2 linked regions of the Styela clava genome follow. The protein of the gene in region 2 purifies or fractionates together with the protein of the main gene of each other region. This does not show direct contact. Links are inferred from orthologs where the notes say so. Each region holds a gene or a part of one and is shown on either strand. Other genes may lie near its edges.

Evidence for each region.
Region 1: the proteins of SH2 domain-containing protein 4A-like (region 2) and uncharacterized protein LOC120327913 purify together in Homo sapiens (affinity purification with mass spectrometry; 3 studies listed by BioGRID and IntAct, counting the BioPlex papers as one, with this or other methods). This does not show direct contact. The link is inferred for Styela clava from reciprocal best matches to the Homo sapiens genes SH2D4A and PPP1R7.

What each region holds. Positions count from the first base shown.
Region 1 is NC_135256.1:8,592,681-8,600,910, reverse strand, and holds the start of uncharacterized protein LOC120327913, read right to left. Parts: upstream 3,004-8,230; 5' UTR 2,879-3,003; coding exon 2,864-2,878; intron 2,422-2,863; coding exon 2,320-2,421; intron 1,643-2,319; coding exon 1,443-1,642; intron 788-1,442; coding exon 625-787; intron 58-624; coding exon 1-57. Other genes in the region: transmembrane protein 126A-like, read right to left, coding at 3,622-3,880, 4,242-4,356, 4,679-4,875, 7,129-7,223. UniProt on the Homo sapiens protein: Regulatory subunit of protein phosphatase 1.
Region 2 is NC_135250.1:4,400,909-4,409,189, reverse strand, and holds the start of SH2 domain-containing protein 4A-like, read left to right. Parts: upstream 1-5,215; 5' UTR 5,216-5,252; coding exon 5,253-5,357; intron 5,358-5,832; coding exon 5,833-5,902; intron 5,903-7,781; coding exon 7,782-7,890; intron 7,891-8,281. UniProt on the Homo sapiens protein: Inhibits estrogen-induced cell proliferation by competing with PLCG for binding to ESR1, blocking the effect of estrogen on PLCG and repressing estrogen-induced proliferation. May play a role in T-cell development and function.

The sequences.
Region 1 (8,230 bases), on a different chromosome or scaffold from region 2:
GTTTTTTCCTAAGTAAAGTTCTTCCAGATTTTTGAGAGATTCAAGATTTTCTATGTGCTGAGAAATACAAAAAGTAGAGATTAGTACGAATGATCAATTTAGGGAATTCATACCAGGCTGAGAAGCGGGGTTGTCTGACTTTATTCATGTCAAAGCCAATATCCTATTTTCAAATTAAATGCAGTTTTTTGAGATTTCCCAGTCAATTTTTAATTATGCAGATAGAACATTTCTAGACAGACACCCTAAATTTATGAGATGGAGTCGCTTTTCTTAATTGAAATATCAAAGAAGCATTAATTCTGTCATCCCGGAGGGGTAGTCAGAGCAATTCCAACTCTACAATCTGCTCAAACATCCCCCAATTCCAATACTATATTCATGGCCTTTATATCATTGAATTGTTAACAAGAGAAAGCATGCAGTAGTCAATGCATTTATGAGTATGTTTACCTGGATTTGGATGTACTAAAAATATTTTAATACACTACTTAGTTACATTCAACCATAAGAAATGTTAATAAAGTGTACAAAGAATACAGCCCATATACCGGTATTCCATAGAACATTATCTGGAGCAGTGGAAAACACACAAAAACTGATGTCATAAAATATTGCTTTTACCTTTACTCTGTTGTCACCCAACTCCAACAGAGTAAGTTCTGTAAGTGAGTTCAAATTTTCTATTTTTGAAATTTTATTTGAAACAAAGTAGAGCTTCTTTAACAGAGTCAAACTTCCAATACATTCCATTTTTCTTATTAAATTGAAGGACAAATCCAAAACCCTGAAAAAGGATTTTGAACATTTAAAATTTGCTGCTGTGAAGATGTTCACCAATTACCATGGTTTCTCATCAGTTGAGAATATATCTAAAGCGAATATATATATACTGTAATATTATTAAACTTACTTATATTACTGTGAAACTAGAGGAACAGCGTGAAAATAAGCCATAAAAACAATTCACAACATATTCATATTTGGCAGAAAAATAAACCAAATTGTCAAAGAAAGTTAAATGTATCTTATCACCTAGTAAAGCGTTCAGAATTCAAACTGATTGATCAAAAAATTTGAATATGTAAAATATTCAAATTTCAGGCATTTCCAAATATCTGAGGAATTAGGAATAGAATTGAATATTTTTTTCGAGTCGAATCTTGGATACTTGAAAGATATTTAAAGTAATACAACGTAATTGTATGTGACTCTTTTATTGTGATGGGTCATCCAGACACACAAATTAATGAAAAAATCACTCAATCAGTTCACCGAGTTGTCATATACAGTAGAATACATGTTTCATCAATAACTCGATAGGAAGAAAAGAGTCAAATTTCAGAATTGAATTTCAGAAAAATGGCTTCAATAAAATAATCAGACTAGAAAAACAAAATGGTAGGGATACAAAATCAACACATAAATATATACGAACTCACTCTAGTTTTGTTAAGTCATCTAGATTCTCAATTTTCTTCAATTTATTATCATAAAGATCAAGATTTTTTAATGTTCCCGAAAGACATTGCAATCCTGAAGTGTTCTTTATTGAATTATTCCTCAAGCAAAGTTCAACAACATGGGTAAGGTATTCAAATCCTTTTAAATCCCCGATTCGAAAGTGCTCAAGATTAACATACTGCAAATAAAATAAATAGTGAACACCTAATTACTTTTTGCTATTAATCAGACCACAGGTCAACAAAAACATTGATAGAACCCCTACTATAACATCGAGATAATATCACAGGGATACCTCGGTAGTCAAACATAATTCGTTCCAGATTGCTGTTAGAATACTGATTTGTCAGAGTACCGAATCTTTTTTGGGTAACAAACAACAATGCTGACTATTTTAATTCGTTCTTACATATTCCAAAATACCAGAAATATTAACAAACGAGTCCCAAACAACAATAATTATTTAAATGCGTACATATTAAAGAGTAAATATAATAACAATGAAAATTTTATCAGTTAGTTACTGTAAGTGCACAAATTTTCGTCGAATTCGTTTTTATGTGCGATGATGTACCAGTAGTCTACTGTGACTTCATTTTGGGCTTTGTGTCCGTATATTTGAGCATCGCTCCCTTGTTGAATGGTCAAGAGGCATGTTCGAGCACATTTTTGACTAGAATTTTTTGGCGACTACTGAATTGTTCGAGTATTGAGTCATTTGACTACCAAGGTATCACTGTAATGGGTTTCGTGTGCTCTGAACAATAACAGAGTATGGGTCTTTAGGCATGCTTGTATTGTTTAGCAGTGTAACCGAAGTTAATAAAATTGAAATACATTACAAATAAGACTTACTTCTGCATCTGCCTCCACTGCTTTCCTTATGTCAAAATCATCATTTGTATTGTCTTCTTCCGCTTTCTCTTCTTCGCCGTCTGTTAAGACATCTTTATCAGCCTGCAATAACAAGAAATAAAAACCACAATGTATTTTAGAATGACATATTGAAAATGCTTTCATATCTCAGACTCAGAAATCAATTATATCTAAAATTATTCAGGTTTTCAGCAAAACAAACAAACATGCAACGTTAACTAGCATGTATAATTACCATCCTAACAGGGCAATTTGTAGGTTCTTCGTTTTTGAATTCTCTGTTCACAATTTAGCTGAACTACGTACAGTCAAAATGCAATAAAATAGGCGGGAAAACTTTGAAGATATGTAATATATACCATTAACAAGAACCAAAGATGCAAGAACTGGAGAGGACATGTCATACTAAAACTAAGTTTTTTTATCAATGCAGCCCACCAATGCCAGAAATAATTGTACGTAGAGTTGGAAAAAATATCCATTACATTTCATTCCACTTCAAAGTTCAAAAATTGTATTTCACCTCACCGTCTTGCATTTCTATCCGTTGTCTTCAACAAGTTGATTACCCAGCTGAACTATCATAAGCATTAGAACTAGTTGTTCATCTTAAAAATGAAAACAGTGTTGATGAAATGTAGCAATAGCAGCATGGTGCAGGAGAAATGCTGATAACCAATGCAAATATAAAGCTGTAGTAAACTGTCACAAAGTGGTATGAATCCACTAACAGAATACACATTTTTCGTAGGTTGTTTTTCCTGATTATAGAAAATAAGTCATTCAAACCAAGAGAAACAAACAATTTAGCAGATCCACAAACACAAAAGCAGGGAAGAAGAATCAACAATAAGGTACATACGTGTTACTTCAAACACCACATATTTATTTTGCAAGATGCAAATTTTACATCAAAATCATGTCGACTAATAGCATCAGGTGTTACAATTTAAAATTTGCATCAATTGCACCATACATCACAAATTACACAAAACTTTATCGTATGGTACAGAAAAATTTTGATATCATTGGATTATTCAGTAGTATATTTTTCACCTTTTCAATTTAAATCGATAAAAAACTAAACAATAATCATGTTATGTATGGCATTTTGATTTGACATTTTTGCAACAAAGTTCTTATAAGTCAAAAAAGATAACTTTAACGATGACGCCATCAAATACTAGTTGACAGCAAAGTCAAACTATCCATATGGTTGTGTAACTTCCACAAGCAAACTGCACTACATATCACTTGGTGATCAACAAAAGGTTCCATCAGCTATCCATTGTATTTGACCAAACTTCGATAATCAGAAGAAACTGCATTAGCTATTGCATCAAGTTCTTCATCAGTTACAGTATTATGTATTTCTTTCATGATAACACTTTGTTTATAAGCAACATAGGCCCCAAAAAGTGATTGAAATCCAAGACTTAAAAGGAATAAAGATTTTGTTGATCGCAATTTTCCGCTCCAAAATCTATAGGCTTCTATTCTATTTTTCCATCTTAGTGCTGGTATATGCAAATTAGTGTACCTGAAATGAAAAAATTTAACAAAACTGTTGAAAAAATCAGAGAATTGATTCGATAGAGACACTGAAATGATGTTAGGCTGTCCATATGAATATTTCAATGCTCTGAAATCATAGTCTGCAATTTTATTTGATCAACCCATGAAGAATACTATCAAATACCACCTAGTTTCCCACTGAACTGATTAGCCTGCAGGGCAGCAAATTTGAACAATATTATTCATAATTCCGCTGTAAACCTAACTAATTTAACCAATTCATCAATTACAGTCAAATTTTTGAATATAATTGTTTCTTACCAAATTATTCACTAATCCATAGAATGGTATAATGCATGCCTATTTCTTCATTAAAAAAATCTTACCGATCAGCAATAACAGCATTTGCTGCTAAGGAAGTTGCAATTGGAAGAATAGTTGATGACACAGCCTGAGAAAAACCTCCTCGAATTGTAGTACATGTCATGCAAAAATCAGGATCTACATATGCAGTGTAATTTAATGATAATGTTGTCAATAATCATGATTAATGCCTCCGTTAGTTTCACACCCATAAATTGGTTTGAATAAGTTGTCAGCAAACTTTATGACAGTAGCGTGTGGGCCACATTAATTTCCGCCTATAAACAATGGCACATTGAAGTTAAATTTATAAATCGCCTATTTCTGTGTTAGTTACAACAGCTGTTGGTATGTTCGATGGGTAACGATCTACTACTGGCAGTTACTTTTGCTGATTCAAAAATCAGATTCTCTAAATCCAAAAAATTTTTAATTTCAGGAATTTGTATATAAGATATACCTGAAAACATTGGAGACTGAACAAGAAGTTTATCTAGTGCAAAATGTGATCCAATGGCAGTGATCGAAACAGACACCGCTGTTACTATTACTCCTTCGTACAAGACCAATGCTCGCTTGAGGGCAACATTCATAATAATAGCAGATGCAGTGGCCACGGCACTTCTGATGTTCACATTATCAAACTGCAGCAGATTTCTTAAAAAGAACAACAATAGCATAACGGCAACTTGGCATGATAATTTTTAAATCCAGTGCGAAGAGCACCGTATTTTTCTTGTCATTGACAATTTTTCATCTTAGAATTTCCATTTAAATTTTATTTCCATAAGAGATTGTTGTGAAATACCTTGATTATTACAACTGACTAAAATAAATTACATTAAAATTATAAGTCAAGTATCTCTAGCATCGTTGCTTTACAGATTCTATAATACCCCTTCTTAATGTAGTAGATGACATACACGACATACAATGAAACTAAAACAGTGCACCGAAAGTGCAATTCACGACGACGTAATGCGTTTAATGAACTATAAGTATAATGTATGGTCGCTCACATCAAAATTCCACAGTTACGTGCAGCCCGTCTCTCTTTGCCTGACGGTGTTCCCATTAATCCGTAGTCAGCGGGTACCCGCATTTAGAAATAAAACGTGAAAAATCGGTAAAATTAATTTTTTAGAGAGAACTATAACTCCCAGATGTCAGTAGCGTCATAATGGTTTATATGTACTTGCTCGCATGTAGCGCCGATCAAAAGTATGAAATGTGAAACTATTACTTGGAATTCATTGTTAATGGAGTCGATTTTTTTTATTTCCGTTAAATGATTATTTACATGCGCCATGATTAGTGGCGGGTAGAATCGTATTTTTTAATCGAGTTATTCGAATATTTTTAACGAACATCAAATAATGAGTATTGTCATTCTAAACAACATTAATTGGGAAGTCAGCCGCCGAAACGATCGCTGTCACAGTAAATTTTTTTTTTGAATTTACTAGATAACTGAAAACTCCGTAAGAGCCACGTTTTTTTATTTCATAATATTTTCATAATCGAAGGCCTGACTAAATTTTTTGTCACCGCGATCGTTTTGGCGGCCGATACCCAATTAATGCTGTTAAACTATATGCAAAGGCATTTAGAGCAAGGAAAGGTAGTTAGTTTCACGCAACCTCAACTGTTAGTTAAACTATATTAAAGTACTTTTTTATTCACTAGCAAATATTTATCCTCACGGCGGATATCATAGTTTGGATTTTATATATTGAACATGATTGTGAGTTCACATCGACGAAGATGTTAAAGACAACTATTAAGGGGTGCAATAGTGCATTCAAAACACAAATTAATTTTATTCTGATTTTTATCTTCTGTGTAGGATTTGTATCACAGTTTGTGAATTAAGGTCCCAATTTTAAGCGAACATTATTATCATTACTGACCCCGGGATGCAAAATTTGTGAAGCGAATAGTTGACATTTCTATGCTTTTAATTTTTGACTGTGTCCGTGTTACTTTCGTATTAAATAATAATTGAAAAACTCTGCAAATTGGTATTCTCTTGAATACTCAAGAGTTGAATATTCACGTTGAAACTCAGCTTTGAATTAAAACCCTCTTTTTTTTTATTGATACTAAACACATGAATAAATCGGCAATAATTGGCATTTCTACATGGTCAAAATAATATTTTTTCTAATATCTCGAGAAATTTACATGAAATACATTATTTACCTGTATTACATAAAATTAATGTTAATAAATTCTATTTTGCTTTTCAATGCGCTGTGATTTGTATTAATAAAAGTGATTGAGTCAGGAAAAGAAAGTTCTTAAATTAGCTTATAACCTTTTTGTCCTTTTGATCGGGCGGTAAAATTCGTTTCATGTCTGTTTCATGGAGAGAAAGGTGAATACGCTTTCCGAAATTCGGATATAAAAGATAATATATCGTGAAGGCAAAAAAAAGTCTGGCTAATTGCGCTACGGTGATAACACACAGAATTATATCGTTTTGACAGCGAAACCATGATACGCAACCGTAAAACGACGCTGTTGCTTTTTTGTAGATGAAATTTCACTTTTTTCACATCAGGAATTTTTCACAAACGGTAGGGTTACGACACATGTATATAATGTGTAAATATACACATCCTAGCACAAAATGATTGGGAACATTTGTTTTTATGTGTAGGAATTTTCTGCGATTCTGTCAGCTCTAATTTCGTGATTTTCTGCTAACTTCACAGAGGTTCTTGAGTCACTTTAGTAGCCTTTGGTACTGTACTGACGTAATATTAAAAATACTGTAAAAGGCTGTAAGTACAGAAGCAATATTTCTGCATTTCATGCAGTCATGGCTGCATTCCTATCGATTTCAATGCAGGTACCGGTATAATAAATCAGACATAATTCCGAGTAAATGGCATCAGTTTTCCATACCTTTCTTTTTGAGCTAGCTGTGACACTTTACTGGCCAAGAGGTCATAGTATGTAGTTGGATTTGAAGAACTGGAATGATCTTTTTTTTCCACCATTGCATACCGGTACCGGTAGGTACGGTATCCTTTTCACCCGACAACACACGTTTACTACCAGACTATTATCTGATTATACAGAGCTAGGCCTATAATAGCTCTTTTAAGACCAGCAGCGTCCTAAAGTTAATATAAGACAATATCGGTAAAGCATTCAATAGACAGATAGGCCTACTATTTATTCCTACATTAAGTAGGCCTATTCTATTTACTGGTATTCGTATCCTAATTCATGTAATTAGGCTATTCCTACATTAAGTCAACTGTTGTGTTTTTTCATTACGGTACCTTTCTTGATATTTTAATATTGATTGTTTGTTTATACAAAGTTTACAATGTATTGCATTTTTGAAATGCATTTTTTTGTTGTTTAAACCAAATTCTAATTTGTTTTGATGACCCAACCCATGCTTCTGATTACATTGCACTAGTGTGTGTATAGTAGAATAGAACTCCACCCATATTTGCTTATTCAAAATCCAACTTGATATGTTTAACTTATATTCATTCAATAAAACAAGTTACCCAAATAGCAGAATAATGGGTACCGGTACCGGTACCGGTACCGTAGCTTGTCTGACCTGCTTTCCCACTTTTTTTCGTTTCGATCATTTTATATTTTGCAGTATAATTTCAATTTGTGCAAAATCCCATTATTTAAAAGAATGCTTCCATAATTGAAAATAGTAAATTCATGTAAATATTGTACATAGTATAAATCGTGAGAGACATTGATATATTGGCACGAACCTGTTATTTTTATGCTTATTTAATATAATTGGGTGGCAACTGACTCTGATGACCCCCACCCAAAGGTCGTATCGTTGCCCCCCAGTCATATACCGAAAACTATTTTTTTTGATATTTGTTTATGTGTGCATAAATTGTTTTCTTGGTTTGACAAAATGAAATAAACTCTCTCTCTCTACTAGAGAAGCGGCACCAACCTTTTTTTCAAGCAACCTATTGGACCTTTCACCTCCTGGGAATTTTCCCCATGGACCTTT
Region 2 (8,281 bases):
CAGAAAGAATAAAAAGTACGCACATACTGTGGCCTGGCATGCTACAATCCAAACCTCACAGTCAAAAAAATATGTAATTTATGCCACTGTCTTATGATAATAAATTCTATTCAAACCTACACGCCTAAGGGCAATATTTGTGTGATGCCCAAATAGGTAATTTATTACTATAATATATATTTTGATACATCTTATAGGGAAGATTTCCTTAACTTTGGCAGTGAATTATTTTTGGGAGGCAGGAGTGTAAATGATGTTCTTTATGTTAGTTTTCCAAAGCAAAGGCAGCAAACAACTTAAAGTCTAAAAATTACTTATAGACGGTATAGCAAGAGAATACATACACATTTACTGCTGCTACATTTAGCTATTAAGTTAGCATATTTAGATTGTGTACTTCGAAATGAATATTTACCTCACTCGCATATGAGCTACGTTATGAAGAAATCCCATCTGTTCATTGCTTCGGCATTTAGCTCAGCATATCGATTGTTTATTAGGTACTCTCGTAGTATGTGTGCCAGGTTAGGGTTAAGGCATAATTTTATTCCGATTTTCTTTATTTAAATTCTACTACGAGAATATACTCCTTGGCCATAGGTACCAGTCCCTTTACACAACTTAATGTAAAGTAGGCGAACAAAGTTAGTTACCTTCATATCGGTACATATACACTTCTTTTAGGTCTGTTTAATATACATATAAGGTAAACAATATTTCACGGTAGGTCTGGCTGCATTGCGCCTTTCGTGCAACTACAAACGGTTACATGAAATGGTATATTACCACCAAAAAGGTAGATTCCATTTCTTTTGTGTTACCAATACCATACGGTCTTTATTCTGAATTTCATCATAGCCAAAGTCCGCGTGGCGCCATATGGACTTTTGTTTATTTTTCTGTGAAATTTTGCGGACGACATTGCAAATAGCTGTAGGATACCATTATTTACTATAGCCATGAAATTATGTGGTGAGAAAGAGTAATATTAAAACAATTTTCGTTTTCAAGTTGCAATTAAGTAACTTTTAATTATGGGGAATCTGTACCTTAATTTGTTTTGAGCCTATGAATCCAAGCCTTTGTTATTCGAGGTTCTTGAACACCTTTTTCAGGGTTTGAGTGTAGACGAATACGCCATTAAGTATATTCTCGATGAGTTTGACAGAAATTTCAAAACGTTACGTCATAGTTTAAAATGTTACGTCATAATATCGAACTGTAGTGATGGAGGCCGTGGTTTAGTGCCTCTAATACGCTACCGAGTTCAGCTTATATTTTTTTAAGTAATTTTGAAATAACGCAATGCTAAATAGAAATTCAGCTATTATATTCGTATTGGATACTTCCTGATTTGCATTCCCTTATCGTATTCCAAGTTTGCTACTTTTTATGGTTTTCGCCTTGAAACGCACGAGCTCATATAGGCGCCACCCAATCATGCGGAGCTATCAAATTTTACAATTACTGCAAACATGTATTCGCAAAAAGTGTGAAAACAAGCCGTCTACGGTTACGCTGTTTTGAAGTATTTCATCAACATGGCTGCTTGAGTGGGAAGGAAAATCAGTGAAGTGTAGATGCGAGCTGAATTGTGTATTCTGAGCTGTGAATGAGAAATAATAGAAACTGGATAAGGTAGAATTGTAACGGGAAATCTGGACTTATAAATATTTGCATGGGTGATTCAAGAGTCGTGTTGCACACTAACACAAATATATTTCTGTAATGTTTCGTCTGGCGTTGGACAGAATAGTGTTAGCGTGCAGCAAAACTGTTGAATCTCTTAGGATAGTTATCCTTACTCCTGCTACAGCATCCATGTATTATATGCATACGGGTCCATCGGCACAAAAGCATAAAAGAAGGACAAATAGTTAGTCTCGCAGAAACCAAATGTTTAGTATAATTATTTGTAAGCCTTTCGAAGCCAATACAGTTGAAAAACCTAGTTTTATGTGACAGAATTGGCTGCAAATGTTCGGCTGCAGCGTTATTTTTCGAAAGAAGATTGTAATAAGACCCTGTCTTATTTTCGGGGAAACACGGCAGCACGGTCACAATTTTCATGACGCCCTAGTTTTTCGTGATGTTTTTCTAATGTTAATTACCGTACCAGCTCCGGTAATGTATACTTTTACGGGGTGAAACAAAATACAACACGGCTCATTAAAATTAATTGCTTTATAACTAAACTATTTTGTATCGCGTCATTCGAAGCTGTAAATTATCAATAAAATGTTATCACCAAACAAAAAGACTTTCGCTTTTACGTGTTTGTTATTGTCTAATTGACATCATATCCACGCCGAAAAAGAATTTGTTTCAGTTTTAAGGTTATTCCACATAGCAAACTGTAGCAAGGTGATGTTATCCTTTAATATATATAAGAATAACTTTTACGGAGATCTCTAAAGACACATGGTATATTACATTTATAGATGCTCAAAACGATTCCGTGCACTTCAGAGCAGTGTCTTAACCAAGAAGTCCGAGCTTGCATAGCGTTTAAAAGAGTTTACTTGTGGGATATCGTTCAAAGTTCGTTTTCAAATCTTCACTTGTAAAAATATATAGCTGTTCGACAAATTTTATGTTTTTCCACCCCGTTTAGCGGCCACTCCGTTTAGTGCATATAGCCATAGGCAGCGGTGTGATTCAGGGGCGATCCCGTTCTCGGAATGTTGTCATGATCCACTAACCTGTTCTTGTTTTTACACGTACACACACGGCGAGGAAGCAAATGGGTAACGTGCACCACAGCTGACGACTAGCCTATATTTTGCATTTCGAAAGTTATGTATGTAGGCTATATATTAGAATTATGTAAACATGTCATGATAATGTAGCTTAAGTAATCGCATACATATATAAATTTTTTGAAATGAGCGAGCGAACGAGTTCTATACAAAAAGAAAGTTTATTGTTAAAATATTGAATCCCATCACTGGACATAAGATTTTTATATTCAATGCCCGGAAAAAAAACGTCTCAATCTCGTACAGACGACTGCGCCTTTCCTAGGGATAAAGTAGCATTTTATATATACGATGGGTAAAGTTAGTTGATTAACGGGTCGCAGGTATTCTACAAGACTTACTATATAACTTTACCAATAGTCAGTCTAATTTTATATCACATATATATATATATGTTTTGTTATCAATTAGGTATTCGGCACCGACTGATTTATATTTTGAGTTATGTGAACTTGAGATAGGATTTTTCTTTTATCTCAGGGAAAAGTAAGCCCGACCTGTCGCCTAAATATAAAGTGGGCAACGACGTTTAGTTTAGACCAGCAATCAACCTTGGTTGTGAGAATAACTCGTTTCACATCATGGACTCCGATGGTATGGTATAGAAAGCCGTACTACAGTGCCATACTAAATACTATGCTTCGTGTTTCGAGGCAATGGTACTCGGTCGATTTCGATACCTAAAGTTCGATGTACCAATGTTCTATCTATAAGCAGATGTAGCCTATATTGAGCCTATATTTTTAAAGTTAATTCTGTTTGGAACATGCTCGTTAAATGCGAATGGATATAGCTGTTCGAGACGGGTTTTTGACAATTTAGGGAAATCAATATGCGTGAATTATTCAGTTTACCGTGATTTCTACGTCATATCTCTTTTTTATTCTTGAAATAACTGAATTAATCCTAGAATTTATCACTGACATTTCTCAGAACAAAGTATCGAAAAGTATGAAGCAGTGCGGGTACGACGAAAAAAACTTCTTGCATTTCGAAATATTTTTGCAGGTTGGCAAAATACTAAATCGTTTTTTTATTATCTGAGATCGAATACAAAAAGCAAACGCATAATAAACCAGATTATGTTTTAATTTTCGCAAATTGAATTATGGATTTTTTACAAAAAAATTCCACTCGTTTTACCACTAATGGTTTACTGTGTAAACATCTATTAAAAATTAATAGAACCTAATAGAATTATCATATATACATAAGGAAGATATATTTATTTTCTAATCTTCATGTATGTCCGTGCTTAATGTTTCAACTCTATTGGCTTTAATAATTTAGTTTCTAAATCCCAAAAGTTTAAACCAGCGCTCAGTTTATTGAACATTGCATCGGGTGTACTGTAGATGAGTATCTTTCTAGCATTGATTATGTCTGTTTATGGCGCATACCCGTTGAAAGGACGAATTTCGTTTACATACCGGTCTTCTTATCTAGTACTTTTCTTATATATGCTCATCTACTTATAAAGCTCTCTAAACAATCACATAGACTTGAGGAGCTACAATGTTTGGATTTAATTCAGTTAGTATAGCTAACGCATTTCCCCTTTGGTCAGCGTACCCGCTGTCGTGCTGTTGAATGGATATCTTCGAAGATCATAAATAATATTGAGTATCTGTTGAAATATAATTTTATTACAAATAGCTCAAATCGAATCATTTAAAATAGAAAGTCTCATTGCAAGAAGCCTCCCACTCTAGTAGTGACTCCGAGCAGGTTCGTATCAGGAATTTTCAAATGGTGGTGAGAGGTCTAAAATTCCTAATTGTCAAATTAGATCTAACAGCTTGCGGGTGCGGAGTTCAAGAGCCATGAACATCTAACAGCGTTTTAGCTACGAAAAATTGTTATGTAGGATACAGTAAAATGGGTGCTCCCGAAGTATGCGAACCAAGATGGCGGACATCGGAACGTAACATGGGTAACAGGTTAGGGTTAGGCAATAATTTTTTTCCAATTTTCCTTATTTTAGTCATATTATCAGTTCGAAGACTAGCCAAGAGCCTCCCGTAGTATTTATACCTAAAATTATGGCCTAATCCTAACCTAGTACACATATTACATTCCGATGTCCGCCATCTTGGTTCGCATACTTCGGGAGCCCCGAAAAATGTCTTTTAACATTTCAAAAGAGGAATTCCGCCCCGCAGCTGCACTCCCCCTCATACCCCTTACCTGGGTACACTCCTGAATCCGAGTCATCTAAATGGAATTACTCGGACTCGTCATCAACTAATCGCCAGTAAGGGTAACTCGACTTGAGTGGCTCGTGACTCGGCTAGAGACTCCTTTCTACCTTACGCTGGTATCGAAATCTAATGATTCAATATGTAAATTTAGTGGCACAGATTTATATGTCTGATGAGACTGAGGGTTCAGAAATATAAAAGTAAGATATATTTTTACAAATTTTTGTTAAATATAGTGACATTCCATTTTCGCAGAATTTTATTTTATCAGTAAATAAACTAGCAAAGCAAAATGTTGAAACAAATAATCAAAGATATGTACGTTGATCCCGAGATATTGGCGGAATTACCGGAAGAACAAAAACAAATTTTATTTTTCAAAATCAGAGAAGAACAGGTTAGTAAAAGTTTTATTTTTTATAGTTTGCTTGGAACAAGGCCATGGGCCTTGGGCCAGAAAAGTGTGAGTCTGCCGTTCAATTTATAAATATTTCACTCAAAAGATGCGGTATATGGGCTTTTTGAGATTTACCTAATCTTAAACCTAATTTTGAGGTTTCAGATAAAAATAGCTCAAGGAATTTGTTGTGATTGCGATTAAATTTAGTTTTGGCACGAGGCCTATTGTTTTCTACAAGGTTTTTCGTTACACTCACATGGCCCGCCAGTCTAGGTGGGCAACATTTTTGGCCCTGTGTCTAAAAACCTTGCCCACCCCTGTCTAACCACTACGTTTTCTCGCCTCCTTGAACATAATCTTTTACGTTTTAATGTTCTATGCTGAATGCTCATGAACTCATTGTCACGGTGTAAATACACAGTTCATCCTAATTAAATTATTTATCAAAGCTTACTTTACATGTGTCTTACAGAAACGGCGATATTATGAAAGTGAAAAACAGTTTGAAAAGAAGATGGCGAAGAAATCGAATCAAAGTGAAAGTAAGCAATGGCTATTTTGTACTTATTCTGCGGTACTCTAATTCTCGGTGAAGCGGTTATTTGAGAGGGAGTGTAAAAATGTATCTTTTGCGAAAATGCTGTTTGGGCAAATCAATTTCAAATCTTAATAATTAAAGATCGAAGTATGGTCGCTAGAAGGAACTTTCTTCGAATTGTTCAAAATTCCTCATTATTTCACCCATTATTTCACCAAAAACTCTGTTATGTTTTCAACTGTAGGTAAAAGCCTTTTTCTCAGCATTGCTTATCCGCGGATCTTCTTAGAAAAATTCGGTACTCTCGGGCTTACCGTACAACCGTACCGGTACCGATGGGCAATCTTCGTGTCCATATATTTGAGTATTGCTATATTATTCCCTAATAATATTTTAGATGATGTCGAGTATTTCATATTTTTCTGTCTTATCCTCTTACATTTTAGTTATATGTGATTCTTTGTTCAAACTATTATTGCACATATTCGCCGCGATGTTTACTCCCAAATTCTCACAAAACCACTTTGTCCAAGTAAATTTAAAAAATAGTAAAGTAAATGAAGTTTTATTTGATCCACATCTTTCTTTGTGTGCGGTCTTAAAATTAAATAGTTTCTTTGTAGATGAGCTAAAGTTTTTTGTTACATCATGGTAGAAAGCCATATAAATGAGGTCAAAAATACTAAAGTGGGAGCTGCCTATATACGTGAATATTTTTATTATTATACTCTGCAGCCAATTTCACGAATATTTTAATTTACGTGTTCCCTATATTGTTGAAGAACTAAGTTATTGTTTCTCAAAGTGTTTAGCCCCAGGAGAAACCTAGGGGCTCCGCGATCAATTCAAATATCAACTTGGTTAATTTTGTAACTGTTCAAAGATGCAAATAAAAGTATTAACAAAATTCGAAATCGAGGCTGTAATTCAAATATCACATTGTCTAAAAATCCCAATAGATATTTTTATTTTCATAAATTTATTGTGGGGCTCCTTCAATAATAGTCAACCTCCTAACGAACTTTATAACACCCCCTGAGAGCCCCCTGGTTTATTTAAGTAATAACCGTGTAATTTCGTCATTATTTTTGAAAATAAATTTCTGAAAGTAAAGATTATATGGGCCTCCTGAAGTATGCGCACCAAGATGGCGCACAACCTTGACTCAGGTTGTGTACCAGGTTAGGGTTCAGGTTATGCGACATCTTGGTGCGCATACTTCAGGAGTACCGATAATATTATCTTCAACATTAAAAATATTAAAAAGCCGAATCGAAAGAGGTTTATAAAAGCACCACTTACGACTAGACAGCGGGGATTTTATATCTAAAGTTGACGTCTGATATACAATATTGAGTTGTATATTAACCAAACATAGATATACCACCCACTCAATGCAATTATGGAATAAACAGTATTATTATGAACAAACACCGATATTATATGATAATATTGACTTTATTACAAAATTTCGATTTCGAATGGATAGATAGAAAAAAGATAGAAACCTAATGATGTTTTTTTTATCGCTGTTTACATAAGCTAACGTTCACGAATGAATCTCTAGTGCAGTGGTTCCCGACCTTTTATGACTCGCAGAACTATTTTTACAGTTCCTTCCACAAAACAACTCCCCGTTTTTCTAATTTCATTGCTTATTAATAAATTTTTTCAAAGAGTGTTTCACTTTGCGTACCATGAATGGTTTAAACATAATGAGATTTGTAATCAACCAATCGAAACAACACTCTAAATACTACAGGAATAATATTAAGGGGGGCACGAGTAAGGGGGGCTGATACCTTCCGGAAGGAGGCCCATGAGCCATGAAAGGCTGAGAACCACAGCTTATAATATTGTGTATTAATATCTAAATATTTCAGAATCTGCAAAAATTCGTATCTTGGAAGACAGCAATGGCCAGCCTTGGACATGGGTAATGGGGGAACATCCTAACGATGTAACTGTTGAAGAAATATGGGCAAATATAGGGTATGTATATCATGTATGTTTTTATAATAAGTCTAGTACCGTGGTTCTATCTTTCATGAGCCGTTGCCAACTTTCAAAGACTTTCAGCACACTGCGGTCTCCTGCTCTTCGATTAAATGTTTTGTTTTGTTTTTAACGAGTTTCCAAAAAATATAGCTAAAAAATAAAGCTTGTTACCTTTCATCCTATTTTATGTGACGCTTATGTTACGTATTTCGCTCTGAACAAGGCTCCGTACAAGTAGCTCTAATATGCAAAGAGTTACTATTCTGGGAAGAAACGAAATCATTCCGGTTTGGTATAGCATACCTAATTTATTGCACCCTGCGGAGTGAGGTAGCGTGTCGGGTTTGAGATGTGCATCGCACACACTATCATAGTTTCGTATATA